Linked DNA regions of Drosophila melanogaster. The protein of the gene in region 1 purifies or fractionates together with the protein of each later gene. This does not show direct contact. Each region holds a gene or a part of one and is shown in the gene's direction. Other genes may lie near its edges. The genes, in order: Nuf2, Mis12, Prp31 and Kmn1.

Region 1 (8,312 bases):
TGAAGAAAAACTGTGTTTAAATATACGCAATGGCCATAGAACAAAGAAATCCAGAAATCCGAACTGTTCGTTCGGATAAGCGAGCAAACTAAAGGCATACTATGTTTGGTTGTTAGTATTATGAGTAATAATATTATAATATTAAAGACCGATTCAAATTCATATTTGGACCAAGTGATTACTTTACAGAAAATACACTTAAAATGTAATCTTAATTAAGCTGAGTTTAAGATGCCAGTGAAACTAGATAAAATCAGACATTGAGAACTGAAAGTATTAGTTCTTTTGGACTTTTTTGAAAGAGTCTACAGTGTTTTATTTATTAAAATCATAAGAATCTGTCGAACTCAAAATCACTGTAACGCTTTCATAGAAAAGTTCTTAAGTAACTGTCATTTTCGGTCCTCTTTAAAAATAAATTAAATAGATTCCCATGTTCCAATCAGAAGTATTGACAAGCAACATTCGAGTGTACTTAAGTTATTGTCGATTAAGTTGACCTCCTAGCTACTTATTTAATATATTTTTGTATCCAATAAATAATACTTCTAGTCACAGCAAGCTATTCACTTTTCTGAGTATGGCAATCGTTAGGATTAAGAGCCCATAAACTATAAAATAAACATCGATGGAATGATATTCGATTATATTGAGTTGCCTGGCGGGATTGTGCAAATTTTTAGCTCCTTTATGCCGAACGATATACTCGATCCAATAGGTCACCAAATCGCTGGGACTCACTGGACGATCGCGATACAATTGAGAAGCTTTCAATATAGTTTCACCATAACTCGAATCGCTAAGCATTCTAGTTATGGCCTTCGCTAGTTTCCAATGCGTCAGATTGTTGGTGGATAAGGTCAAACCCCAGTTTTTCGACTGCATTCTCTGAAGATTATCTCGTTGATCGCCAATTAAGGGTAGTCCCAGCATGGGCACTCCGTAAAAAAGAGCTTCTGAGACACTGCCTTTGCCTCCATGAGTGATGAACAATCGAACCTTGCCACTTTGCCACATCTGCGTTTGGGGCCACCACTTGGCGACTTTAAGGTGAGGGTAATCCAAGCTGATGGCACTACCATTTGGACCATCGTAGGTCCAGTAAATGTCATAGTCCGGAAACTGAGCAAAAGCTTTTGTGAAAGTCCGCACCAGTTCTTTAGTGGACTTCCGCCAAGTGAAACGAGTGCCCAAACTGAAGATGATGAGAGATCGATTGCCGGCTGATATTTCCAGAGGAGTCTTATCAAGCTGTTGCTCTAGGACTATACCTCCTATATCCACCATACTGGGAATAAGTGGAGCTATGGGACCCTCGCTGATCATGTGATGATTACTTAAAGCCAGAACCACCGACCGTCGCATGGTTTCAAAACTGGGATATTGCGGTTCGGGAAAGTGCAAACTAAAAAGAAAATCTCAATTGATCGCTAAACAACTGCGTTTAGATACATACCGGTAGATCCTTGCCAGCACTCTCCTCGCCAAAATCTCCATGAACTTCTCCCACATTCCAAAGACCCAGGCCGAGATTCCACTTCGCTGTTGGCCATCATACGGCTGTGGGACATACCAACGCTCCTCGGGATTACCCATAAGGCTGTTGACAAATCCAGTTGGCTGTTGGGTGGAAACTATGGCCACTGGACAATTGAAATGCGCAGCAACTCCCAGCAGATGATCGTTGAAATGATAGCCCAAGAGGAGGAGATCATAGGGAGTATTAGGTTGATTTCTGAGAAACATCTTCCACTCCGGCAGATCAAGCAGATCTCCAGAATGCTCCAAACGCCTAAACATCCGTTCCAGGCGCAGAATGAGGTCCGAGGAGGATACTTCCTCTTTTGGCTGCTGCCAGGGAATGTAAATGTGTGACACATTTCCCTGAATTTCCTGCTCCTCCAGCGGCAATGTGGTGACTAGGGTTAAGTGGTGACCCCTCTGCAAAAGAGCGCGACATACCGCCAAATGGACCATTAACTGCGACCGGTGCACATTGACAAAGAGACCCAAAATGTGATGGGATTCCACAGGGGCTGGGCTATCGGCCAGCAGGAAAATGCATGTGTAGCCCATCCACAGAAGTGACCAACTGATCGGCGAACGCTTCATGACTGAGGCGCTCGACTCAAATTTACATTAGCAGCTAATTAGCAGAGTCGCACGGACACACCATAAATCAATCAAAATGATAACAAGCGATTTGGTTACCCAACGACATCAAGTCGAAAACTGTGGCGTCACGGCGCTGTCCAATCAGAGCCATTAACAAATTTAACAAAATCAAAGAGCACAGTTATTTATGTTTTTAACTATTTATTTAAGTGCTTAAGTCAGATAACTTCAAACCTTACGCCTTTATGTTTCACCCAGTTCATTGTTACATGTATCAAATGTGTCGCCCAGTTTTACACCCCTTATCGAAAATGTGTTAAAATTTCGTTTTAGGAAAATCATAAAAATAGTGATAGGGATAGTTAGTTATATTTATTAGCAGTCATTAGTTTAGCTGTGACACCTTTTTTGGCCAAGTTTTGGAGAAATGAGCGATTGGAAATATACGATTTTCGACAAAATTTCTCTTCGTTCCTTTTTCGTTACAAAAATAACGAGTTTTTTTGCAATAGCAATAAGAATAGTTGTCCAAAACTGGAATGTCATATCTCGTTGAATTCGTAACTTAATTCCCTATCCATATGTGTTGAAACCTGAAAGATCCAAGAGGCTTCAATTTTTTGCAAATTTTGATGAGGGTACCCCTTATCAAAAATGCGAAATTTTGTAAAAATTTTATTTTTGGAAAATCAAAAAACTAGTGATAGGGATAGTTAGGTATGTTTATTAGCAGTACAAAACAGTCTTTATTTTCGCTGTGCCACCTTTTTGGCCAAGTTATGGAGAAATCAGCGATTGGAAATATACGATTTTTGACAAAATTTCTTTTCGTTCCTTTTTGGTTACAAAAATAACGAGTTTTTTTGCAATAGCAATAAGAATAGTTGTCCAAAACTGGAATGTCATATCTCGTTGAATTCGTAACTTAATTCCCTATCCATATGTGTTGAAACCTGAAAGATCCAAGAGGCTTCAATTTTTTGCAAATTTTGATGAGGGTACCCCTTATCAAAAATGCGAAATTTTGTAAAAATTTTATTTTTGGAAAATCAAAAAACTAGTGATAGGGATAGTTAGGTATGTTTATTAGCAGTACAAAACAGTATTTATTTTCACTGTACCACCTTTTTTGGCCAAGTTATGGAGAAATCAGCGATTGGAAATATACGATTTTTGACAAAATTTCTTTTCGTTCCTTTTTGGTTACAAAAATAACGAGTTTTTTTGCAATAGCAATAAGAATAGTTGTCCAAAACTGGAATGTCATATCTCGTTGAATTCGTAACTTAATTCCCTATCCATATGTGTTGAAACCTGAAAGATCCAAGAGGCTTCAATTTTTTGCAAATTTTGATGAGGGTACCCCTTATCAAAAATGCGAAATTTTGTAAAAATTTTATTTTTGGAAAATCAAAAAACTAGTGATAGGGATAGTTAGGTATGTTTATTAGCAGTACAAAACAGTATTTATTTTCACTGTACCACCTTTTTTGGCCAAGTTATGGAGAAATCAGCGATTGGAAATATACGATTTTTGGCAAAATTTCTTTTCGTTCCTTTTTGGTTACAAAAATAACGAGTTTTTTGCAATAGCAATAAGAATAGTTGTCCAAAACTGGAATGTCATATCTCGTTGAGTTCGTAACTTAATTCCCTATCCATATGTGTTGAAACCTGAAAGATCCAAGAGGCTTCAATTTTTTGCAAATTTTGATGAGGGTACCCCTTATCAAAAATGCGAAATTTTGTAAAAATTTTATTTTTGGAAAATCAAAAAACTAGTGATAGGGATAGTTAGGTATGTTTATTAGCAGTACAAAACAGTCTTTATTTTCGCTGTGCCACCTTTTTTGGCCAAGTTTTGGAGAAAACCCCGTACGGGCATATCAGATTTTTAGCATCATCTTTTGCAGCGCTGGAGGAAGCCAGAGTTTTCACTCACCAATAAAAAATGTAACTTAGTAACTTTAGCCAGATTTTCCGTTACTTTTTAAGTTTGCGCTGAACAAATGCAGTATTTTCTAGCTGCCGGGAAAGAAAACCGGATAAAAAAACCCGAGAATCTGCTGTAGGACTATAGGTGTGAAAACCACATAAATTCTGAGTTAGTATTTTAGTGGTTTTTTGGGGCTAGCAAGCTTTGGTCACATCAATCTGATCCCTTAGCGGCGTTCCATTCAAAAACTGCCATTAAAAATTAAAACTCTGGATTGAATGGCGTTATCAGTCGAAATTGAAAGGGTAATGGACCAGGGCAACTGCCTGATGCCCGACATCAATATCTGCCAAAGCGACTTGGCCAATCCCACCGAGCCCATTGTCACCAAGATCATGGTGCACTATCTGCGGAGTTTCGGCTTTCGCCTGGAGCCGCCCTATAAGATTGGCACCGAACTCGGTCACTCGTCGCGGGAGGCGCGCGTCTTTCTTATCCGAGTGTGCCGCCAAGTGGAGCGCATCGTCCAGATCAGCTTTCCCAACAAGACGTACACCTATATGGACATAATTAAACCAGGTGAGCCGGCAGCCGGTCTTACAATAAGCAATTATTATTAAACAATTCTTTGGCTATTAGCTGTTAAAAAAACGCTCGCCACGCTGAGCTACCTTTTCAACCATCTGGCCTACTACAAGGTGTTCAAAAAGAAGGTGCTGGGACCTGTAGAGGAGGCCATTAAGCTAAAGGATTCGCTGACCGCCGAGGTGAAGGCCAAAAGTCAACAGCTGGAGCAATGCAGCCAGAAGACGAAGGATTGCGAAGTGGCCATAAACAAACTCAAGAAAGATTTGCAGGATACTCAAGCAAAGCTTCTACCTTTGAAGAAGTCCTGTAGCGAGCATGAAAACACTCTGGAACTCATTGAGCAGCAGCAGGGTGAGCTGGACAAACGCATCGGTCACTGGGAACAGCTAGTGGTGGAGGACAGTCAAGTGACAGAGCTGCGAGAGTAAGTGCTGTCGGGCAAGCCTAGATTCTGTGCTTATTTTAATGTCAAACATTGTAGGAAAATTAAGAGCGCATCGTCGCATGTCGAGAGCTGCAAGACGGAGCTGGCCAGTAAAAAACAGGTGACGAATGAACATCGCCGGATGATCGAAAACAGTCAACATATAGCCACCGCTTTGGAGAAGGCCACGGCTGTGCTTTCGCTGTGCAAGGTGGATGATTACAAAGAGAGCTTCAAGCAGCTGGAGGCAGTGGAAAAGCAGTTGCCCACCTGTAAAGTTAATTATCAGAAGCTCCTTCAGGATGCAGAGGCCAAGAAGCAGGAACTCGCTCTTTGTGCACATCGGTACGAGGAAAGAAACCAGGAAAACGATGCCGAGAATCACAAGGTGCAAAATGAACTCAAAAAGCTGCAGGTCGATGTTGAGGATCGCAAGAAACGTCTGGAGGATCTGAATAATCACTTGATCGAGCTAGACCAGCAAAATTTGGAGCAAGATCAGCTATATGCCATATTAAATGAGCAAATCCATGAGGTTCTCGGACAAAACTGGCAGATGAATTCCACTTAATATACTGATTTTATTCTATTAATGCAAAACAGCTCAGCTCGTTTTTATGGTTAGGACTGAACAAAGGGGTCGGTGCCGGTTTACGTTTCCATTTTCTTGCTCTCCAAATGGGCCTTCAACTGCTGGCTGAAGTCGTCCTCCACGTTGTCGTCGTCCCAGTTGTCCTCCCACACATTTAGCTCTTCCTCGTCGTCGCCAACGCGGAAATCTACAATGAAAGTGATTAGAAACTGCCGATGTACCACCACATTATTGCGTCCAACCTTCGGCGGGAAACTCTTCGAACTCGTCGTCCTCCTCCAGGAGACCCAAGTCTTCGCTCTTGTTGTTGGTCTCCTCCTTCTCTTTCTCCTTTTCCTTATCTGGGGCAGACATTTTGTGTGCTTTTATTAATTCCAACGGCGATAAAACAATGTTTTTGACGCTATTCGCGTTTTTTGTTGCTAAATGATGCCAGTCACTTTTAATTGTGTGACCGCAGCTGTACCGTCGAAATATACCCAAGTGAACAGGAAAAAATACTTTCAAAATACCGTTGGCACCCGACAGTGATGTCAAATCTAACTTTATAGCTAGAAAAAAAGGCTAAAGAATTAATTAAGAATATTACAAACAAATGTTGGCAGATATTTGGCAACTTGACACAGCCGTTAATAATTCTAATATATTTCTCCTTTTCTAGTAAAAGAATTAAGTAATTAGGCTTTTCACCCGACTAAATTGTGAGTTGAATTCAAACGCAAGCTATTACAATCCCGAAAAAGTTGAAGCACTTTAAAAATGAAGTTCATTTAAGATCTCAAGTTTCTCAGGTTTGTTGTAGACTTTAAAATTGGCTTTATATGCATTTAATGATTTGTATAACATTTTTACGGCTGGCTATTTAGTTTTCAAGCTAAAGGGATTATTGAGCATTTGGGTTTTAAGCTACATTTAATTTAACTGTTGCTGCTGGTTGGCTATTTTAAACAATTAGATCAAAAATGTACCATATGTTAACATTAATAAATATATATGTTATATGCGTATAGTTTTTCATATTGTTTCCGTTCTTGAATTGCTGCCTTTTGATTTATTGCATAGCGAACTTTAAGTTTTGTCTATTTTTGGGCTGGTTTTCGTGCTGTCCGAAATGTAGTAAAAATAAAACATATTTCACAATTTGTATTCTTCCATTTAGTTGACTTAATGGTAAAAATTTTGTATGCCAAAATATATACTCCTTTGTTGCATCGTTAGTTTCGGTTTCTAGAGTTCACAATTTTAACTCTAGTTCAACATTTAACATTTAGTTGTTGCGGTCTGCAAATCTACATAATTAAATAGTTTGTTTGATTTCGTTTGTGTTTACATTTAGTCTGCTAATGTTATATACGAGGAATAAAACACCTTATATTTGATTAGTAATATTGTTGATCAGTATTGTGTGTGGTTTTGGGCTCTCCACTTCGCTCCTTCTCCGTCATTTTTTAAACATTATTATTCATCACAGATGCTCTACGCACAAATCAAATTAAATTCAATGCAATTATTATCATCGTTTAACAATTTGTTACAAGCTCCGATTTTCCGTAATTGCTGTAGCTAAATGGGGCGACAAGTTGGATGGGACACATATCCGTGGGATCGGGACATACATTCATTCATCTGGATTATCCCTGAACAAGAGCCTGTCCTGCTGCTGCCAGCCCACTTAAGTAGTGGTGATCGTTTACAGTGTGTGGAGAGTGGTTAATTCTATTTAGTTTATAAGATAATATGAAAGCTTTTCTAGAAAAAGTGTTGTATCACATATAGAGGAAGTGTTAAATATGTATTCATTTGTTTAGCATTCGGTTTTGCCAACTGTTTTGTTGCTTCAAGTCAACAGTTCGTAACAAGGATTTGCGTTCTTAAATATTAGAGGATATATATGTAAATAGAGTTAAATTAATCAGCTTAGCCTCAATAAAATGCTTTAAAGTAAATACATAAATACGAGCAGTCCGTCTATCCATTTGGACTTCAATTCGGTTATTGTTCAAAAAACATTTTTCAAGATTTTTGCCTCAAGGTGTGATCAAATCAAACACAGAACCTATATTTCTCATTCGTTTTCGAAGAAAAGCACCAATTAAGTTACGCTTAAACACAATAAAAAAAAAAGATTTTAAGCTTGCTTGAGGGGAAAACACATAGTTGTAGCAATAAATACATAGGGGATAAAGTATAACAGCTAAAAATACATCATAAATACTTAGCATAGCTTAGCGTTTCGTGTGCTTGTTTGTTTGTTTGCTGGGACATGTCTGTGTGTTATGTGTTTCACATTTTAAATTTCTTTTTAAAACGCTAGGCGTTCTATAACGGCTTAATTTCTGTTTCGTCTCACGCTTACGAACTACATAAATACACATCGAACATCAAAAATATGATAGCTTATATAATATATGCATGGTTACTTAGGTGGTTCGAATTTTCTGCTGATGAAATAGTTATAAGATGCAATTTTCAATTTCGAGACAATTTAAATTTGTAAAAGTAGTAGTATATTTAAAAATATAAGTTATTGAAGTGCATTTTGACTTCATTGTGCTCAGGGGACAGATTTCCAGCGTGGCTCTAGTGTTTTTAACGAAATTTGCTGAAAAACTATACAGTTTACTCTACTTTATATTAGCACAAAAAAAAATCGAACC
Region 2 (7,827 bases), on another chromosome or scaffold:
TAACTTGATATACTTTTAGGAACCAACACCTTCGAGGAGGCGGCCAACTACATTCGCATGAAGTTCGAAAACCTGAACAAGCGAAAAGACCAAAAGGAGATATACACGCATCTCACCTGCGCCACGGATACGAACAACGTGAAGTTCGTCTTCGATGCCGTCACCGATGTGATCATCAAGAACAATCTGAAACAAATTGGCTTATTCTGAGAGGGCGGCGGAGCACAAGATCATCATTATTTAGCTGGCGTCGTAGTATTAAAGGAAAACGCGCATAAACATTTCCATTAAACGCTAAGAACTCGATACATTTACGCTCGTACGATCCATATATGTTTTAAATGCGTTACATGCTTGACACACGTAATTTTAATAACCGATTTGGTTGCCAGTAGTCGCGGAACAAATAACCTAACCAGCTGCAATTTAGTTAACCGTGTCCATTAAATTGCACCCATAAGCTAACTAATTTAAACATTAGCCTAACCACACAAATGTAAAGTTCGACAAAGGACAGCCGGTGGGTTTTGTACATCCTAAAACCTCAACCCGATCGGCTCCCTTTGGAATTTAGTTAAGTTTCGCGGGCTAATGGCGGTGACCAAGGGGAGCACCACATCCAGAAATCCCCAGAGGTGTCTCCTTGGGCGCAAGCCATTTTCCGGACGTTTATTCTTTGCCAAGAGCTTGACAGCGTTATTTAAGGTGAACCTAAGGCCTGGAGTTGTAAGCCCTAAAATGTAACTAGTAAACTTACTAATATGTTTAGTAATAGCCTAAATAAAAGACAATTTATACAAAATAACCATTCGTACTTGAATGCTGCCAATGCTGCTTATTATTTCATGTGCGCTTACAGAGCTGACAACTTAGTAAAATAAATATTAGGATCCTTAAATTATGTTGATCATTGCTCAGTTAGTTTAGTGTATATTCCAATTTAGAGCTATAGCTTGTGCCTATTTTCATAAATATATTAGAAACAGTAATTTTGTTTTAGGTTTAGCTTTTTTGAACTTAGCGTTCTTTCCCAAAAAAAATGGGATTTTCTTCGGAAAGAGTTGCAACTCTGGCTGATGATTGTCAAGTTGGCCTTGCCGCATTCTGCTTTTTGTCAGGCATTTTGGATTAATTCGTTTGTTGAAATTGTCAATTGCTTCAGTGAAGAATTTTTAATCTGCTTAAACTTGGAAAATGATTCGCGCCATGGTAATGACCAAATGGAGTAAGTCGGTGGCGGGACCACTGGTCACAGCGTGGAGTAAGTGAAGCAGGCACGTGTTTTTTTCTTAGCAAACTTTAACGCCTTTTCCCACCATAAAGACTACTCCACATTGAATCGCCTCAATGGCAATACTGTGCGCCCGCGTGCTCTGTTCCTGAATCTCGACCGCAAGTTCTCCGCCGAAGGTGGCGGCGATGAGAAGCCCAAGAACGTGCCGCCTGGATTTGCGGCTCCAGGGTTTCCATCCACCTTGGGCAATAACCCAGAGAACACCACGCGTAAGGATGTGCCCATTGGCGAGGTGCAGGCGCCAACTATTTCCGTAGTGAACGCAGGCGGTAAACTGGGCAGAGCTGAGCCACTGGAGGCCAGCACCATCGTGCGCAGCAAGGGCACTTCGAACGAGGACAAGATGACCGAGGCGCAGAAGAAGGCATCGGAGGCCAAGGAGGCGGCCGCCAAGCAGTTGCAGGATGTCATGGCCAACTTGCCTAGCAAGGAGCAGACCGAAAAGTATTTCTTTCGCGTGGTTGCCTTCTTCTATGACTTGACCTACCTAACCGCCACCTGGTTGCTCAACTTTGTCGAGCACAATATCGTTCAAAATGCCAAGGTGCAGCACTACTGGAAGCGATTCCACGAAAAAATGGAGCAGGCCAAGAAGGATTAACTCCCAGCGGAGCCGAAAAATATATTATAAAACTCATGCGAAAGCAAAAAATAAAACAACTCGCTGACGAGTACAAAATTACACTTGACTTGGCCACTTTTCCATCAGATTAACGCCGAGGTGTAGCCATCCAGTAGTTTGGCCAAGAATTTGAGTATCTTGTTGCGAGCGGCCACCAGTTGTGGCGGATCGGTTTTCACCGGCTCATACATATTGGCGCAGTGAGCGGTTCCTAAAAAAAAAAACACAATAAATGCTTACATTACCCAAGTTATATGTGAAAAATGTGTTGGTAAGCACATACCTTCTATGTAAATGGTAGGAAGTGCTGCGTTCGTGGACTTGACCAAGCCCAAAGCATGCCAGGGATCAATGGAACCGTGCACGTACAACACATTTGTGGTCTTTGGCTTTAGGGCGCCATAGTTATCATTTGTGGCGGACACCACCAGTTTGAGGAACTTGGCGTTCATATTCTTGGAGAACACATCCATGCACTGGCGTATAAAGAAGTCGACACCGAAGCGATCACCAAATGTGTCAGCCGGGTTATCCGAGGTCTGATAGAAGCCGAATTCGTGGCAGGTCTGATATGTCCACTGGCGCATTCCCTTGGCCGTCTCCGAGTCCCAGGAAACGTTCTTCATGTCCGCCACCATCTTGTCGTACTTGTAGTCCAGGCAGGTGGTGTTCGATTCCTTCAATAGCATATCGTTGACCAGGCCCAAACGGGTCACAGGTGGACCAGCCGTGGTGTTTAGCATGACATCGCAGATCTATGGAGTTCAAACATTCTTAGTATGGACTTGATAGGGATCAAAGTGAGGATGAAACACACGTCGTCAATGGTGATGGTGGCATGGGGACTGTTGTCCTTGTTGTATTGCACCACTCCAGCAAAGTTGCCAGCCAGATTCTCAAAGAAATTGGCCATGTCCAGGTCGTTTTCAATGGAGTCCTTGATGGGAGTGCATGTTCTGAGTATAAAATGGTTTACAAAATTAAAATTTGTGCAGGACGATAGCCTAATCCACTCACTTGAACTTCTCGTCCAGGCTGCGTTGTCCAATCATGTGCTTGAGTAGAATCTCCACTTGCGCAAAGCTGCGGGTCACGGCGTCCACGCATTCGGGCTTGTAGGCAGCTAGAGAGGCTTTGACCACCTCGAAATACTCCTTGAAGTCAACCTCAGCCAGCAGAGGACCACTGGAGCTAATTGAACCGTAGATGAGCTCGGGATACTTCTCGCGTGCCCAGGCGGCCAGCGATCCCGGATAGGAGCCACCGAAAGCGATCCATTTCTGGCCATCGCCCAGATTGAACTTAACCTTCATGGCGGTTACAAAGCTGGCCAAGTCCTCCAGAGCCTGCTCCGAGCTGAGATAGTGCAGATTTTCGGTGGACAGATCAGCGGTGGGATGGCTCTTGCCATAGAAACGATGCTCCAACTGCAGACACAGCGCTCCAAAGTGCTCGGCATAGTGCACCCAGGCTCCTTCGCGCATCCACTTGGCCGACGCCTCGCCCTCGCCACCGATCATCAGGAATACGGGTGCGGAGCTGTCATTCCGATAGAAGTCGGCATTCACAAAGTATCGCTGCTGCCAGGTGCGCTTATCGCTCGACTTGAAGTGATCCAATCGCTGCTCGAACCACAGATCCTCCGAGTGCAGGCTCCTTTGCAGGGTTGGAATCTTGCTGGGCTCCCCGAGGAATCCCTTGGTCAGCCTTCCGCGTCGAAATCCCATTCCGGAAATGGGCGCAAGCAGTCCCAGGAGCAGAAGACCCACTCCCAAGGGCCTCAAAACGCCCCCAATGAAAAGCATATTTGCTTCCTTTGTTTGTTCGGGTCAAGTAGAATTTGCCAGTAATTGAAGTATTTAATTAGTTGGAACCTCGCACAGTGCCTAACTGTAAATAGCGACTGAAGGAGAGTGGTGTGTTCTATTTATATAGGCACCGTTATGTGTGTCGCACTCTCCTGATTATTCAGTTCTCGCTGTATTATCTATATTCGCAAAGCCGGCAAAGCAAAACTAAAACAGTAGGGGCATTCATAGTTATTGATTTCAATCATTAATTGAATTAATTTAATTTTAAGCAGAGAAAGATTTCTGTATGCTGTAAGTGTTCTGGTAACTTTACAAAACTTAATTTAGCTTTTTATTTATTTATATTATTTCCTAGCTAGATATTATCGATGAGCTTAATAGCACCGTAAATGTGAACGTGTTTTGCAAAATTTTTGTCAAGTAATTAAGAAAAGTATACATTCTTGCATGCTTTGATAATTTCCATCTGCGTGTAATTTTAAATTCTCACTGAACTAATTTAATGGAAGTTTCCTGAATTTCAAATGCTTTAGGTAGCTTTAATAAACAACATATAGTTTATTTGAATTATTCCATATATTAGGTAAATATTATTGTGGAGTTTCACTGTGCCGTTAATGCGAAAGCTTAATAAATGTATTTGTCAAAAATTTTAGGAAATTGTGCATGTGTATGCGTTGTTTTTATATTTTTCATCTGTATAGTCAGTTATAAGTAGCCAAATTTAGTAACTAGATTTTGTAGCTAAGTATGGCAGCACTGTTGCTGTGGTAGCATCTCTTTGTATTCTGAAAACGGTAACACTAATTGCGCGACAATTTGGATTGTTTACGTTTTTATCCAGTTTAATTGTAATATAATTTAAAAAAAATATTGTTGTTAACTGTCATAATGGACTTCAATAGCCTAGCCTACGATCAGAAGTTCTTCAATTTCACAGCGGCACAGTTGTCTGCAGAGCGTGAGTGCTACATCCTTATATCTCTGGATCAGCGTCCTTTATCCATTAATTCCTTTTAAATAGGCGAACATATTGTGCAGGACATAATTAAGAAGGGTATTGGTCAGATCATCGACAAGATCAAGACACCCGCCACAGCGGAATTGCTGGAAGCCGAGAAGGAGACCGTTGAGCGTCGTTTCCAGGCATCCGCCTCCAAGGGCCTAAAAGCCCTCAGGGAACTGGACAGCAAAGTGTTCCACGTTCCACCGCATGTGCTGCATCCGGAGCACATGTTCGTCGAGAATCAGTATACCAGCGAAGAGGAGGAGCAGAAGACAGCCAGGTTGGAGGAGCTGAAGGCCAAATACAGAGAGGTAACTTGTAGAACCAATGGAAACTATCTTGTATGCCTCATTTTAATCATTATAATGGGGAAAAGGATGCTTTATTTTATGTTTTAATAATGCTAAATCACATCAATTTCAGAACATGGCCATGCTGGCGCATTTGAAGATCGAGGAGGAGAAGTACGCCGCCATGGAGGATCTCATCCAGAAGGAGATCGAAATGCAGGATCGCGTGCAGCGAAGCTGCTCCTCCCTCAACATCACCAAGCTGAAGCAATTCTGGAATCAAGTGCCCCTGCAGATAAAGAAGGAGACTGATTAAATAAACTAACTGGATCAAGTTTTTTAATCTACATTTCCAATATCTTCTTTCGAAACTAGTTTTAACCCTGGAGTCATTTATAATCACTAAGACTCTTCTATATTCCACTTTACCTATTATTATGTCGTTAACTTAGTTTTAAACTTAAAATTAAATTAAATTAAAATTATTATGAATCCGAAACACCTAGATGATTACTTACTAGTTTTAAACCAATTTACCTTAGCATTATATTAGTTCCTTTGACAACAGCGGCAACCAAGCAACGGTCGCTGTTTAAATTTTCCAACTGCCTTGTTTTCAAACAGAAAACAAGCCGGTTAAAAAGTTTCAAGCACAGAACAGACACAAAAACCCCCTTATATGTTACATTTCGAATCGTATATTTTGCTATAAGCCTGGAAAAATGGGAGACTCGCACGATGTCTGCAGGCAGCTGCTGCCGCGCGCAATCTTCGGCATCAATGGCAAGGTGGAGAATGGAGTGCGCCAGCATCCGGTCACGGGATCCATCATCTTTGCGCTGGGCAACAAAATCGGCATCGCCGACTACAAGAAGAATACGCAGGAGTTTGTGGCCGGACACACGAACACCATATCGTGCCTGGATCTCAGCAAGAGTGGCAAATACATGGCCTCCGGTCAGATCAATCACATGGGCTTCCGCGGCTATGTGATCATCTGGAATTACGATCAGCGCAAGGAGATCGCTCGCCACGATCTGCACAAGGTATCTGTGCAGGCCATCTGCTTTACTGCCCAGGATAGATGCGTTGTGTCCATCGGTGGCGTGGATGATGGTTCCGTAATTGTCTTCGACATGGAGGCATTGTAAGTTGTTCATATCAGAGCTCATGCTTGAACTCCTTCAATGACTTCGTTTGCCATTACAGCTCTCCCATTTGCCAAACACCCGCATCGAGGGCCATCTCTGGAAATGCCTTGACTGTCCGGCCGTTGCACAACAATCCCTACTTCTTTGTGACCGCCGGCGATCGCCATCTGCGTCTGTGGAGCATCCTGCGTGAGGAGAAGAAGCTGTACGTACAGGATGTCCTAATGGCCAGCAAGACACGGGTTTTCTACTGTGCGCGCATCAATAAGACGGATGAGTTTGCCTATCTGGGCACCGGAACTGGGGACATTGTAAAGATCGTGCTCAACTGCTGCGATCGTGATCATGTGAGCAAACAAGGCTCAACCAGCTGCATCCTCGGAGCCTTCGGCACCCACAATCCCAGGAAGCCAACGGGCAGGGACTGCAATCGTTATGTGAATGGTGTGCGTGCACTGTATGTCCTGGAAGGCGGACGTCTGCTGATTGGAGCGGGAAATGGTGATATAGAGCTGGTGGAGGAGCGTACCGATGTGCCGCTCATTAACTTTCGCGATTATCCCGGACCCACATGGCCATATTTGCGCACCCTGAAAAAGACGCACGTTTCGGGCAGAATCTCGTCCTTTGTGCGCTCGAAAACGGACATGTTTTACATCTGCACGGACACCAACGAGATCTATGGGCTGAATATCAAGACTTGGGTGCTCAAGCTGCTGCGAACGTGCCACACCAAATCGGTCTACTGCATCACGTTTCCCAAGTGAGTTTGGATGGAACTAACCCTTCTACTTGCAATCTATTTGCTACAATTGATCATATATATGTATTTAAGGAACTACTCTGGTGTCTTTGCCACGTCGGGCAAGGAGTGCATCCGCATCTGGTCGTCTGGTCGCAAGCAGGAGCTGCTCCGCATCATGGTTTACAACTTCAACTGCGCCTGCGTGCGCTTTACCCACGATGGCACTAGCATAGTCTCCGTTTGGAACGATGGCATCATTCGCGCCTTCACTCCCATCACCGGTAGACTCATCTACGCCATACCCAACGCGCACAACAAAGGTGAACTTTGGGAATACCAATCCTTCTAAGCCTTCTTACTGAAATCCTCTCGTTCAACACAGGTTGCAGTGCATTGGCCGTGGCCTCGTCGGGTCGCTTGATCGTCACTGGCGGCATCGAGGGACAGGTGAGGGTGTGGAAGATCGATCCGTATCGCCAGGATCTCGTCGGCGTGCTGAAGGATCACTCGGGGCCCATAACCTCGCTGGATATCAACTATCTCGACACCGAAGTGATCTCCGCCTGCACCGATGGCTCTTGTGTAATCTGGGACATTAAGTGAGTTAATCTCAGTGGCAAAGTATAGCATGTATTCCTCATTCACCAAGTAATCCCCACCAGACGCATGACCCGCAAACAAGTGGTGACCGCTAATACGCAGTTCATGTCCGCATCCTACTTCCCAACTGGAGTGCAAGTGATCACCTGCGGCTCGGACGGCAGAATCATCTACTGGATGGTGTACAATGGAGCGTTGATCAGGGAACTAACTGCGTCCAAGAAATCGTCGGTCAACTGCTTGGCCATCAACGAAACGGGTGACTACTTCATCACCGTGGGCAGCGATCTGCAGGTGAAGCTGTGGGA
Region 3 (8,918 bases), on another chromosome or scaffold:
GAACTTGGTGGCCTTGATCCGCTTGCAGCGCTCAGTCATCATATCTGGAGTTTCCGTTTGCTCAACGCGAGCCACCTAAAGAAAAACTTGTATTAGTTTTACTGGGAAAAGGAGCTATCCTTGGACAAATTACCTTGAAGCCCCTGTCTACGAGAATGGTGGACATCTTGTCGAAGGATATCTCCGGGAAACCGGAGTGAGCAAACTCGCCGCGCATGTAAGTGAAGCCCAGCTCGTTGACGCCCACATCCGCATCCATGTGATACAGTTCATAGAACTTGCCGACTTTAAAAAACAAGACGCAGTCATAGTTGTCCGACTTAAGGACCCACCACTGTCGAACTCCCGGCGACAGGCCATTGAGGAACTTCTCCGGCACATGCAAGGTGCTCTTATCGTAGTCCGGATGATCTGGACGTCTTCCCTCCTTGTCCTTGATCTTGTCCGGTTGCAGGAACTCTAGTTTCTGGTGCGGCCAAACAACGGGCTCATCCAGATTGGACGTGTTGGTCACGATATCATCGTAGGAAGCATCCTGCTTGGCATTGCTCTGCAGGTTCTTCAGCTTTTCTTGAAAGGTTGCACCCTCGGCCAACTGGATGGTCGACTCTAGCTTGACCTTCTTGCTCGATGGCTCATTGTTATTGTTGTTATTCAGAATCTTAGACTTTTTGCGCGATTTCTTGGGTGTCGGACTGTCCACGGACATGTCGTTCTCGCTAGGCGACACCTCCTCCGCGCCGCTGCTAACGCTATCATCGCTGGCTTCATTCTCATCCGGTTCGTAGTCGGAGGCGCAATCGGAGAAGTCGTCCTCCGACTTGGTTACCTCCATTTCCGGCTCACTGTCCGATTCCGGCTGAACGATGCGCTTCCGCTTGCGTTGACCACTGGCCGGCTCATCGTCGGAAATGGGCAACTTCCTCTTGGCCGCCGGCTTGGAAGCCTCTTTCTTACCATCCTTCACTTTTGGCTGCTGGTTCTGGAGATTCTCCTTTTCGCTCTTGGATGCATCGGGATCTGTTTTCACGCTAGGAGTCAATTTCTTTTTGTCGAAAGCTGGCGACTTGGAAAAGTAATTTAGTAGCGTGTTTGTGGGCGTCCCGCCCACGCTGGTGTTTAACTTCTTGGACATGACAATGGCCTAGAAACGTCTGCCAGGTTACTCAAAAAACCAGGATGCAGACGCTGCGATTGTGCGCCAAAACCAAAAAATATTCTGTCAAATTGTGGCTTAATAATACCGAAATAGTAGCTTGACTATTTAGTATATTTAGGGAACTCGTGCCCGTTGGAATTTTCGAATACCACTGAGGAGATTTTATTTTTTCGTTACAATTTGATGCTTCTTATATAATAAGTCATTTTTTTTCATTTTTGATCTGTGTTTATCTAGGCTTTGTTGTCCCAAAATAAATAAAGAGTGATAGTTAAGAATTAAGCAAAACAATTGATAGCCATACCTATATTTTCATCAACCTTATATTTTCAACCATATTTTCAATTCCTTTACTTTTAGATACAGAATTCTAATTAAGCAGGAAAATCGAAACTTTCCAGAATAATAACAAGAGTTATGATATTGGATCGTTCTGTTCATGAAATGTTTATTGAATTTGGTCAAATTGATCAATTAAAATCCAGTGGAATAGCCTTATGGTATTCTTTAAATGAATACCCTATATATTTCATGCTAATACTTAGTATTTTTTCAATGAACCGCATGGTATTCTAAGGCGGCTGAGCAACGGTCACTTCAATTCCAAAACAAACTTAATTTCACGAGATCGCAAAATAAACTTTTGAAATAAGCCAAAATGTCGCTAGCCGATGAGCTTTTAGCCGATCTCGAGGAAGACAATGACAATGAGCTGGAGGAGGAGGATTCGGAGATGGCCAGTGCAGAGGACGAGAGCGTAAGGAACCAAAGCAAATGTTGATCAGACCTAATGATTCCCCTCCCACAAAACAGTTGCTGGCGGAGAAGCTGGCTAAGCCGGCTCCCAATCTGATGGACGTGGATGTAACCGTGCAGTCGGTGCGGGAACTGTGCAAGCTGCGCGACTCTGAGCGCCTGAAGAACACGCTGCAGCAGATCGAGCACTATGCCAGTCGCCAGAGAACTGCAGCCGAAATGCTGGGATCCGTAGAATCCGATCCAGAGTACTGCCTCATCGTGGACGCTAATGCCATAGCTGTGGACATTGACAACGAGATCTCCATTGTGCACAAGTTCACCAAGGAGAAGTATCAGAAGCGATTCCCCGAATTGGACTCCCTGATCGTGGGTGAAATCGAGTACTTGCTGGCGGTCAAGGAGCTGGGCAACGACCTGGACCAGGTCAAAAATAACGAGAAGCTGCAGGCTATTCTCACGCAGGCCACCATTATGATTGTGTCAGTCACGGCGTCCACCACACAGGGGTAAGTTATTTGAACGGTGTAACCCAAAATAACATGTCACTGAATCCCATTCCCTTTCGCAGAACCATGCTGACACCGGCGGAGAAGGCAAAGATCGACGAGGCCTGCGAAATGGCCATCGAACTGAATAACTTCAAGTCCAAGATCTACGAGTATGTGGAAAGTCGCATGACCTTCATAGCCCCAAATCTTTCCATGATTGTTGGAGCATCGACGGCGGCTAAACTCTTGGGCATTGCTGGTGGCCTTTCCAAATTATCCAAAATGCCGGCCTGCAATGTTCAGGTGTTGGGTGCACAAAAGAAAACCCTCTCGGGCTTCTCACAAACGCAGATGTTGCCGCACACTGGCTATGTGTACTACTCACAGATTGTGCAGGATACTGCGCCAGATCTGCGACGCAAGGCAGCTCGCTTGGTGGCCGCCAAGTCCGTGCTGGCTGCTCGTGTTGATGCCTGTCATGAGAGTGTCCACGGGGAGATTGGACTGCGCTTCAAGGAGGATGTGGAAAAGAAGCTGGACAAGCTGCAGGAGCCGCCGCCGGTGAAGTTCATAAAGCCGCTGCCCAAACCCATCGAGGGAAGCAAGAAGAAGCGAGGAGGCAAACGCGTGCGCAAGATGAAGGAACGATATGCGCTGACAGAGTTCCGCAAGCAAGCGAACCGCATGAATTTCGGAGACGTAAGTTTCTGGCTTAAAAATATAATGGTTATGTATTAATCTTTGAACTTTTCTTTCAGATCGAAGAGGATGCCTACCAAGGAGATCTGGGCTATTCACGCGGCACCATCGGCAAAACTGGCACCGGCCGCATCCGATTGCCCCAGGTGGATGAGAAGACCAAGGTGCGCATTAGCAAAACGTTGCACAAGAATCTGCAGAAACAGCAGGTGTACGGCGGCAACACCACGGTCAAACGCCAAATCTCCGGAACGGCATCCAGTGTGGCCTTTACGCCACTGCAAGGTCTAGAGATTGTGAATCCGCAGGCGGCGGAGCGTTCGCAGACGGAGGCCAATGCCAAATACTTTTCAAACACATCCGGATTCATGTCAGTGGGACAGCGGACCACTTAAGAGAACAGCTCTATCCTTATTTTCTATAAAATTAAGCACTTTTATTTGGAGATTTGTCGAATGTATATTGAGTTAGGCGTAGTAAAGCTGCATAAGAGATTCGAATTGTTGTTAGCTGAGCTTGCCGACTTCCAGTTTCCGTTGAATGGCCTCCCACGAGTTGTTCAGCAGCACGGCGAGAATGCCGGCCACCGTGAACACGCCTCCGATGATGGAACAGCAATTCGTGGCGAAGTGGCCAAATGAGCTGGGAATACACAACACAACCAATAAAACTTGTAAAATTAACCATTAGCTTTGTGGCTTACTGACCTGTGTCTCTCCGCATATTTCACCATCAGTGGCGAGAGCTCGTAGCTGAAGAATATCCCCGGCATTCCGCGCTCGCGATCTGAAAGATCTTTTCGGTATCGCGTGACGGAGAATTGATTCGTGTATATGGGCTCGCCGTCGCTGTTTCCTCGCATATATAATGTGGGAACAATTTTTAAATAGTAATTGAACATTTCACTTTTGGTTTCTGCAAAAAGAGGAGAGCAGATTTTCTAGTTTACTTCATTTGTCGTTGATAAATGTATTTAATTTGGTAAGGTAATTACGAATTAAACTTCATGCTTCTAAAAACAGGTATTTCACAATTCGAACAAATGAGTATATTTTTTCCAATTTAAAAAATGAAAATGCCCCACACAACAGACCTCCGAAGTTTCCCAGAAATTCTTCGAGGAGTAAAATATAAATTAAAATGGATGCCTGTGCTTAAATAACTTAGTTTTTTTTTATTTCAGTCTTAAGTATGCTTTTTAATAATATTAATAAATAAAGAATATAAATTGATTTTAAAGCACCCGCTTTTTAGCTACCGCCCCCTATCGGCTTTCTCTAGAACGAGGCAAGCCGAGCGAAAAACAAAGTGGCAACCCTTCTATAATTTGACAGCTCACGCACACCATCACTCAGCTGCTCACACTCACACGTTTACGAATTATTCGACTAGTCGGTGCCGAAATAAATAGAAATATTTTGAATATTCCTAAAATAAACGAACCTTCTGCGAGATTCATAAGTGCGTCGGAGCAGCGGAGCTTGCTACTCAGCGGTATCAACTCATATAGAGCCGGTGAACCAGGAAAACCACGGACTTAGCGGCATGCCTCTGCCTACGAGCTCATTTTCCCAGCAGGGACCAACGTGCTTCGATAAGATGAAGACGGGCTTCATCATCGGATTCTGCGTGGGCATGGCCAGCGGTGCGGTCTTTGGCGGGTTCTCGGCGCTCAGGTTAGTTGGACTTTGCACTCGGATGCTCCACTTAGCGCTCCTCCAAAGAAGTGACGCAAGTGGAGGCCGGCAATTATGTAATTACTCCGGCTAACTAACGAACCACATTGAAATACACTTTAGATACGGACTACGCGGGCGGGAGCTGATCAACAACGTGGGCAAGACCATGGTCCAGGGCGGCGGAACCTTTGGCACCTTTATGGCCATCGGCACGGGGATTCGCTGCTGATCCTGCTGGCATTTGACTAGAGTTACTAAACAACCACAACCTTAAGCCCTACTCCAATCTTGTTTAAATTACGCTAAGTTATTGCAATAGAGATGTTACAGAATTACGAGTCCGTGTTTGTGTTCACTACTCACCAGCCACGTCGACTCGTAGTCCATCCAAGGGATGCGTCTTGGCGAACTCTATCTTCTCGCCGAACGATAGGTGATTGATTGTGTGCGATAGCTTCACATTGCTGAACTGAAAGTCATGGATGTGGAACTGGCGGATGGAGAAGCTCTTGCCGGGCGCAAAGTGAAAGCTGCCGGCCATTCGATTCACTTCCAGGTGACCCTGGATGCGACAGCCCTCCTTGAAGGCGTCCTCGTCGCTGCGTTTGTACTTGCCCTTACATTGCTCGATCTTGTCCACGGCCACGGTCCATTTGCGCAGCCGGTAGGCGTCGAGAACATCCTCGCACGTGTTGCAGCAGCTAGATAGGATGGTAGTTGGTATTAAAAGGGGGAGATTAGAAAGCCATTGCTATAATTAGCTCTAGATACAGATATCTCCTTAGATAAATCTTGTCAGCGAAAATAGGTGGAACTAATGGTTGAACTTAGAAGCTGTTCACTATCTTACTGAGTAGCATTGTGCTCCGCTCCGTAACAACTGCCGCAAGTGACATTCTTATTGGGCGGCGAAACTGCAACGATTTCCTTGATGGGCGTCTCCTTGAGGGGCTCGCCATTGAGATCCAGCCGGTGCTTAAAGACGTCGTGGTCCACCCTCAAGTGTGTGTCGCCAGATGAATCCATTGCGTCCAATGAGATGTAGTTGCACGCCAGATTATGCAGTGTCACGTCCAGATTTATTCTCAACTTGTGATCACGAGTGGTGTCCACGAAGAGCTCTTCATTTAGGGTTGGCTGCATGTAGTTGAGGACCTCGAGGAAGATCAGTAGGCTTATGATGCTGGTACTGATAATTGTAACTGAAAATCAGAGAAAAGCCGGTTGTTTGGGTTCCTTAACGCCACAATCAATTGTACACCTGCACCCACCTGCGGCGCCGCCCACTGTGCGAACGCTGAAGTCATCCAGTGTGCGGGGATAGGCGTCCAGGCGACGCAGCACGTCGGCGAACTTCATCGTGAACACGTAAAAGGAACAAAACAGACGAAATGCAGACGTAAACAATAAATATTACATCGTTTTTGCACAAGACAGGTGACGTGTTGAAATTGGCGTTGCCAGTACGCCGCAATGGTACGGCCAAACAGATGTTCGCTGTGGTTCGGTTCGATTGACTGTTATCGTATCCGTATCTACATGCCAGCTCTTACTTTACATGTCGCATTTTACATGTTAAAAATCGGGCGAGATGCAGTAATTGTAGATAAGTATGCAGTTTTAAAAATAAATGGGCCACATCAAGAAATCTTAAAACTATTTTATCCGTTTATAAGAGGTAAATGCCATTGACACAATATAAAACGCTTATTTAAGTGCTTATCTTATTAACATAGAAACTTATGATTAGATCTTACATTGCATTACAATAGCAACATGCATGCCAATTATTACATTTCAAAAAAATACAATTTAAAATTATAAAGGTTATAAAAATGTTTTTATTTTAAGCAAAGTTTTGCTGAAACTGCATGATTATTTAATGTTAAAATTTAGCTCTTATAGTTCCCAAAATTTGATTCGTCTGGTGGTATTGATTTTGATACACACTTTACATTTACTGTTTATTAACGAATACAAAATACCCTCACTGACTATAAGCAATGATTTAAAAAAATCCAATGTCAAGCCTTACATTTATATAAGCTTTAACTTTTACTTAGGCGATTTTTTGATTTCATCCTTCATTAGCCGGAGCTTTACCCCATTGATTGCGCATACGCCGCGTTGGCCCGGCGACAATTAGGACCTCCGCTTGGCCGTCCTTTCCCATGGCCACGAATAATGTTTAATAGTGTTGTCATGTCTTGGGGTTGTGGTTGTGCATACATTAGGCCGCCATTGCCCACCATCGGCAATAACACCACCCCCCCACTCAGACGCCTTAACCCACTGCTGCTGCTGTGGTCCAGGAGACCGCGTCTAATTTTATAATACATGTTAAACAGATGAAAGGTTAATTGAAAGGAACCACAAGTTTCGACAGCCCGCGCAGCTAATGCTTAGCTTTTAGGGGTTGCAACCCCCACACCCCACAAACCCCTTTCAAAGAAGCGGACTAATAGAAGACCGTGGTTTATCCCCGGGGATTTTGGTTAAAGTTAAAAGTTTTCGCCTAAATATAAATCACCAAATGGCTTTTCGCCCGACTGATTGAAGGTCCATGAACCCAGCATCCATGTAGGGTCACAAATAATTGTATGTAGGTGTAGAACATACCGCGACTTTGTGTAATTACCAATTAAGCTCAAGTTCCCGATGCTTTCTCATTTTCCTGGCCACTCTACAGTTTCCTTTGTCATTTCTTTCGCCGACTTCACTTTTTTTTTGCAATTACCTGGACAAGAAATCTGTAAAATCAGGCAAGGCAGCAGATGACAAAGATTAGCCAGCGGTAATTTTACACTTTTTTTACTTTCTAAATTAAAGTAAATGGATTGGAAAGGGTATGGAATAGAGCATCACGCTTTGGATCTGGGAAAGTTCATAAAAAAGTGGAAGTGTCAGTTTTAACAATGTGTAACTGTATGTATAAATATGTAAATATGTAAATATGTGAATATGTAATATGTAATATGTATGTATAAATAATAAACAATGATACCATGGATTTTTAATATATAACAGCTTGACTTTGACCTTACACATTTTCAAATAAAGTTTTTTTTATTTAGGCCTTAAGCAAAATTTAAAAGTGACATATACTTCGAGATATAAACTCAATTTTTGAATCTATCCTTTCTAAAAAATTGCCACAAAGTTCTTAGTCCTTTTATGGGTCACTTTTAAATTGGATTTGAAAATGTCTCAAAAATATTTATCCCTTGGCTTCGCCGACTGACAAGTTCATAGCCCTTTTTCCTAGTATATCCTCTTATATTTGCGCAACTTATGGCCACAGGGCATTCGGGTTTTCTGCCATGGCCATTTCCCTCGACCACGCCCACTCTTATCTCCCGCTAATTTGCATTTCTAACCATTTCGCTCTAGCCAATTCGCGTCATTTCTTATTTGAAACAATGAGCCCAACATCAGCCAGAACAAATAGCGGAGAAGGAGTCATTGTGCTACGGCTTTGCCGGCAATAAAAGACTCCGGAGACAAAAGAACCGGGCTAAAAAAAAAGAGCGAGAAGAGAGCGTGTCAAGAAACTTGGAACCCGGAGCCGGAGAATGGGTAAAGAAAGCCAGAAGAGAAGTTGGCGTAAAGCAGCTTAAACAATCAGGACTGCCTAATGGATATTGACACTTTAATGCCCTGGCCACCAACCCAGGCTCTGATTCCGATTTCGAATACGCACTGCGAAAAAACCATCTTCATTATTTAAATTTAAATGCAAGGCACATAGATACACAATTAGGTACATATTAATCTACTGACACGCTAACTCAAATTCACTTTTTCCTTCCCATAGTCAAGGAAGTGCTATTATTCATAATAATATTCAAGAGGAACTTGCTTTTTGTACTTACTTACGTATCTATAGTATAAATAGATAGCACTATCACATTTTGAAGTAAATTAAAAAACTAAATGAAATAAACAATTATAAGACGCTTTAAGATTTATTGTAAACTATATTTTGAAATGCAAGTGAAAATTTAATTAGCTCATACTAAATCAAACTAAAAGGGCGCAATTTTCCCTCCGTGTAGATTTCAAATTGATATTGGATTGGGGGAATCCCCGCGCGGGAGGCTGTATCCATCCGTGCAGATGTCCTGCTCTAATTCG
Region 4 (4,864 bases), on another chromosome or scaffold:
AGCGCGCCTCGCAGATGGCACACTGGTGGACCAGCTCTTGCTGCTGCGAGTGGAAGCGCAGCATGTGCATCACCTGGCTGTTGCGGTTAAGGAAGTTCTTGCGGCAGCTCTGGCAGCTAAAGTACTGCGGATCCTTGTGGCAGTGCAAATGGTCGACGTACAGTGTCCGCTTCTTGTACCGATTGTTGCAGCACTTCACATAGCCAGTGCAGTCGTGCTCCACGCGAAAGTGGCGCTTGAGATCGTTGAAGTCTTCCAGCGGGGCGGCGCAAATGGCGCAGTCGAGCTTAACATTGGCGGCTATATAGTCGTCCATTTCCTTGATGCTGCTGCGCTTGACGGGCACCTCCGAGGTATCATCATTATCGTCGGCGGTTACCAGTTTCTTGGTCTTGGGTCGGCCACGTTTGCCGCGCGGCTTTGGCTGTTCGTCGGCATCTGGTGTTAGCTCGCCCCCGACATCTTCTTCGTCCTCCTCGTCTTCGTCGCCATCCTGATCATCCTCTGCTCCAGCACTGCTGCGTTTAAGTTCCCTTTGCCGGGCTCTTGATTCCCGTAATGATAACTCTGTGATCTTGGCCTTGTTCTGCTGTTTGCGCTTCTCGTACTTCCTTTTGATGATTTGATGCGTTTGCTGCAGCGCAGTTTTGCGCGGCCTGCCCCTGGGGCGCGGTTTTACCGGATCCGGCTCCGGTTCTTCTTCTTCATCTGGCTGCGATTCCGGCTCGAAGTCCGGTTCAAAGGTGTCGCCATAGTCACTGTCTTTTTCATCGCCCGCGGACAAGGCGTCGATGACGGGTTCGCACAGTATGTGATCCTTGATGTCATCGCCCTCATAGCTGAGCTTTGGCTCGATTGGCGACTCCGTGTTCCACACGACCAGGGCGGGCTCCGGCTCCGTCAGTTCGGGCAGCTCCGGCAATTCAGTTTTCAGCTGCAAGGAGCGGTGCAGCGACCGCTGCTTCTCCGCTACCATGGAACAGAATTGCTCGATCTCGGCCAGCTGCCGCCAGCAGCGGTTGCACAGGCACGTGGACACCACGTCGTTTTCCGCCAACTGAAAGCGAACAATTCAATCATTAGAAAAAAACATCTTTTTGGGGTAGAAAAGTCCAAATCCACTCACCACCAGCAGCAGATGTCGCTCGATCAGCTCGGCCAGCTGGCGATGTGCCGGTTGTCCCATTGGCGGTTCCTGGCCGAAAATGGGCACCCCGTGCTCAGCATCCTCCAGGCAGAGTCGGCATATCATCTCATAAAAGGAAGGACACAAATCCCGAGTCGAATCGCGTTAAATGCAGCTGTTTTTGATTCGTTGCTGAGTTTTGTTATGTGAGCGTTACCGGACCGCGAAAAGAGACCTCCGCGACTGATTGTGCAAACACAAGAAAATAGGCTAGAAAAAATAGCTAAGAAGATAACCAACACATTGGTTCAATATTTTGTGACTAAAATTAATCAATTTAAATGCTTTTTTTGTATAAACTTTATTGCGGTAAGGTTAGTTTATTTCTGAGATGTATGCTTTTTGAAAGCTCTGAACTTTGACAACTTCCGCCTGACATATTGAGGATATCAATTGATGTCACATAAACTGCGACGAAAGATTCATTTCTTGCTGGTTGCTTGATGATGGCTGACGCATTGGCTTCGGCGGCGGTATTGGTCTCTCCTTGGGCTTGGAAATAGGCTCCTTAATAACCAATAAATCAGATTCGGATCCGTGCAGCAGATCCATATTTAAATCGATATTTTCTCCCAAAACCTCGTTGATGGTATCAGATAAGTTACCCATCTGTTTCCGCTTCTCTTCCAACTGCCTTTTGGCTATGGCATCGTTGACCAGATCCTCGATGCTGGGCGTTATTTGGAGGGCAGGACGATGACCGCTGGGCAGGAGATAGCGATCTGCCAAAACCATCAAATGGCTAAGAACGGAGCAAACTTGTTGCCACACCAATTCGCCCCATTCCAAGGTGATACGTCCCAGGACCTGGTCGAAGGATTCGTTACAGCTAAAGGATCGCAGGAACTCCTCGTAGATCACCTCACTGCCGCCGCCCACAGAGGGCAACATCCAGAACAGGAGAAGCACCTTGAACTCACTTAGCAATGGAATAAATGCCAGCAGACCCGCTGTGAAATAATCAAAGGCCACATAAACTCCATAGGCAATCCAGTAGATTAACCATCCGCGAAGATCATTGACGCTACAATTCTGACTTTTCAGGATCTTGTAGGACGCGAATGCTGGATAGAAACAGCCCACCAGAAGGGACAGTATGTGTATCACGATCGCATAAATCATTATTTGGAAATTTTGGATAATCTTAAAATTTTGGATTTTGAGAAAGTATATATATAGCTGTGTATTCGGTTCTCGATTTTGTTCATTTGGTTTGACTACTTGAACAAATACAATAAATTGAAATGTGATTCTAAACGCAAGGCCTGCTTAGCATTCATAAAATGACTTATGCCCTATAACCCTTTTCCCCTTTTTTAGTTCAGCTTTTTTTCAATGAGTATATATCTTTTTATTAATATTAAAAGTGCAATTTTTTATATCGTATATTTTAATTTGTATAAAAGGTTTTGGCTTGAAAAGAGCCAGAGCGAATTACGTTCAAAAGATGTGGCATCACTGGATCAGCGATGGGTGTTGGCAAGCGTTTACGGATTTAAAAACTGAAAACAAACGAAGCGACGCGATGGAGCCAGCCGAAAGTCCAGAAAAATTAATGAAATTCGTACGCCGCAGTGACGTACTGGAATACGTGGGCAACACGAGTGCCGTCGATCTATCGAGCGGTGATCTCTCCGACATCGATCTCAAGGACGTGCCGGCCCAACTGGAGGCCACTTTGAAACCGCGTCGCTATGAAGCAAGCACTTTGTTTAACATTGACCTGGACGATAGTAAGTGCAATCCTTGTGGTTAATTAAATTGCCATTTACTTAACGTACAGACTTTCAGTCTGGGATCCTAGCTGTCAGGAGGACGAGGTGCAGCAGTACAAGGAGCGCGCCCAGAAGGAGCAGCAAAAGTTCTTCGACTTTGTAATGCATGCGGCACTGGACACGGACAATCGCAAGGTTAGCTTCAAGCCAAACAAGGAGCAGCAGCGTTACCTAGATCAGGGACCCAATTTGCAAAACTTCGTGCGAAGCTCGTTGGCTTTCACAAACGCGGCCATCCGATTTCAGGCGGAGCACGAGGACATGATGGAGCTGCAGTGCAATATGGACGATCACTACCTATTCATGCGGAACACCATGATCAACAACGCTATACACCAGAATATGGCCAACCAACGGTGACCCTAAGCTATGCATAAATATACATATGTGAATTGTAGATATTGATAAATTAAATTAAGACTCAGAGATTGTAAGACGGTTTGCTTTTGGCTTATACAGTATAATTCGCTTAGCTGCCTCGAGTACTTTGCACAATGCCTCGATGCAGGTAACTTAAAAATGCAGCTAACTTAATTTTTTTTTTTCTATTTTCTATTTTCTATTCACACAAAAAAATGGAAAAATAATGCAGATATCTTGCCGATGCAGCTAACTATCGATGCAGCTAAGCGAATTATACTGTATTTATTTCTACCCTAATATGTAACTCCCTAAGTTGCACTTCTGATGATGGCTGCCTTTAAGTCTGACCGAAAGAAATGAAAACCGATCAAACGTCTTGAAAACATTGTCTGTATGTAAACTGAAGTTAACAAAGGTTTCGTTTTATGTTCTGGTCTACTCAGGCGTTAGGTCTACTTTAAATTGTGTGTATATTTGTGAGCTGCTTATTCCTTGTTCCAGGCTGCCAGGTATTTCATGAGGTCCGTGAGACTCTCGAAATCGGTGCGGCTGGCTGGTGGTTCGTCCTTGGTGATTCTTGGCAGTGCATTGCCCATCTTGAGGCGGAACTCCTGGAACTGCGAACGAAACGAAAGATTTAAAGCGAAATTCATTGAACAAATCGGAGGCATGCTCACATCCTTGGCTCCGGATAGCTTCCAGAAGCCGTAGCAGAAGGCGCCGGTGCCCATCACGGCGTACAGTGTGCCCCAGCCCAGCGCCCGCAGGGCCAGGGTGGCGCCCTCGTCCATCAGGATCATGCCTTGCCGCGTTCCAGCCTGCTGGAGGACCTTGCTATCCGTCTTCTTGGCGGTGGCCAGCGTGCGCGAGAAGCCGAACAGAGCGGACACCCCGCCCACCAAACCCAGAAAGGCGGCGGCTAGAAAGGAGGATGAAATGGAGTTGTACTTCAGTCAGTTGCTGGCTGATATATATGCGTGTGTCTGTATGTGTTTGGAGAACCACCTACCCTGGATGCGGAACTTGCGCTCCTTCTCGGCGGCCACTGCATCCGCGCTGGTGCCGGCCTCGCTCATCCTTCTCAATTGCGATTTATTGTTGTCGTAACTACTAATGCCCGAATTGGATCGCACAACACAGCTGATTGCTTGACCGCTCTTGACAACCAACACTGGTGCCGCAGCTGCCACTGCCACTGACGCGTTCGCAGAGGTGCTAAGATGGCGGGAGGGAAGCTAGAAGTGAAGTGCTAAAAGATAGTTCAAAATATTCAACAGGTACTGGCCTTTCTCACTGACTATGAGAGTCAATTTGATTTTAATGTGCTGCATTTAATTTATTTGTTAAATTACTAACTAATACTAATAGATATATTTATATAAAAGATATAGCTAAAAAACGTCAGTCTGGCAACCCTGCTACAACGACCGCAATATGGTATGGTATTTCGCCGCTCGCCCTGCAGTCACACTTTTCGGTCGGCGTTGTCCGCATTTTCACATCGCATCGCGTCTGAAAAAACGGGCTAATTCGCATTCGC

Evidence for each region.
Region 2: the proteins of Nuf2 (region 1) and Mis12 purify together in Drosophila melanogaster (affinity purification with mass spectrometry; 2 studies listed by BioGRID). This does not show direct contact.
Region 3: the proteins of Nuf2 (region 1) and Prp31 purify together in Drosophila melanogaster (affinity purification with western blotting, with the first as the bait; one study listed by BioGRID). This does not show direct contact.
Region 4: the proteins of Nuf2 (region 1) and Kmn1 purify together in Drosophila melanogaster (affinity purification with mass spectrometry, with the first as the bait; 2 studies listed by BioGRID). This does not show direct contact.

The regions. Positions count from the first base shown.
Region 1 is NT_033779.5:7,061,783-7,070,094, reverse strand, and holds Nuf2 (Nuf2), read left to right. Parts: upstream 1-4,257; 5' UTR 4,258-4,329; coding exon 4,330-4,630; intron 4,631-4,690; coding exon 4,691-5,063; intron 5,064-5,120; coding exon 5,121-5,634; 3' UTR 5,635-5,664; downstream 5,665-8,312. Other genes in the region: Ugt307A1 (UDP-glycosyltransferase family 307 member A1), read right to left, coding at 553-1,405, 1,457-2,112; Sem1 (suppressor of exocyst mutations 1), read right to left, coding at 5,715-5,842, 5,898-6,009.
Region 2 is NT_037436.4:6,965,726-6,973,552, reverse strand, and holds Mis12 (Mis12), read left to right. Parts: upstream 1-4,504; 5' UTR 4,505-4,618; coding exon 4,619-4,688; intron 4,689-4,751; coding exon 4,752-5,044; intron 5,045-5,156; coding exon 5,157-5,339; 3' UTR 5,340-5,518; downstream 5,519-7,827. Other genes in the region: Galphai (G protein alpha subunit i), read left to right, coding at 20-210; CG10063 (uncharacterized protein), read left to right, coding at 1,195-1,261, 1,324-1,895; CG9953 (uncharacterized protein), read right to left, coding at 2,000-2,127, 2,200-2,671, 2,734-2,872, 2,934-3,721; CG10064 (uncharacterized protein), read left to right, coding at 5,746-6,170, 6,233-6,937, 7,010-7,239, 7,302-7,518, 7,582-7,827.
Region 3 is NT_037436.4:15,157,353-15,166,270, forward strand, and holds Prp31 (Pre-mRNA processing factor 31), read left to right. Parts: upstream 1-1,747; 5' UTR 1,748-1,817; coding exon 1,818-1,916; intron 1,917-1,972; coding exon 1,973-2,424; intron 2,425-2,486; coding exon 2,487-3,105; intron 3,106-3,164; coding exon 3,165-3,500; 3' UTR 3,501-3,611; coding exon of another isoform or gene 3,612-3,747; 3' UTR 3,748-3,786; downstream 3,787-8,918. Other genes in the region: Msh6, read right to left, coding at 1-75, 134-1,135; CG7011 (uncharacterized protein), read right to left, coding at 3,612-3,747, 3,813-4,020, 5,148-5,485, 5,635-5,986, 6,056-6,143; CG6878 (uncharacterized protein), read left to right, coding at 4,651-4,781, 4,905-5,013.
Region 4 is NC_004354.4:11,570,246-11,575,109, reverse strand, and holds Kmn1 (kinetochore Mis12-Ndc80 network component 1), read left to right. Parts: upstream 1-2,667; 5' UTR 2,668-2,711; coding exon 2,712-2,919; intron 2,920-2,977; coding exon 2,978-3,321; 3' UTR 3,322-3,727; downstream 3,728-4,864. Other genes in the region: CG11696 (uncharacterized protein), read right to left, coding at 1-1,057, 1,127-1,252; Reepl1 (receptor accessory protein like 1), read right to left, coding at 1,586-2,308; CG11699 (uncharacterized protein), read right to left, coding at 3,810-3,941, 4,002-4,243, 4,334-4,400.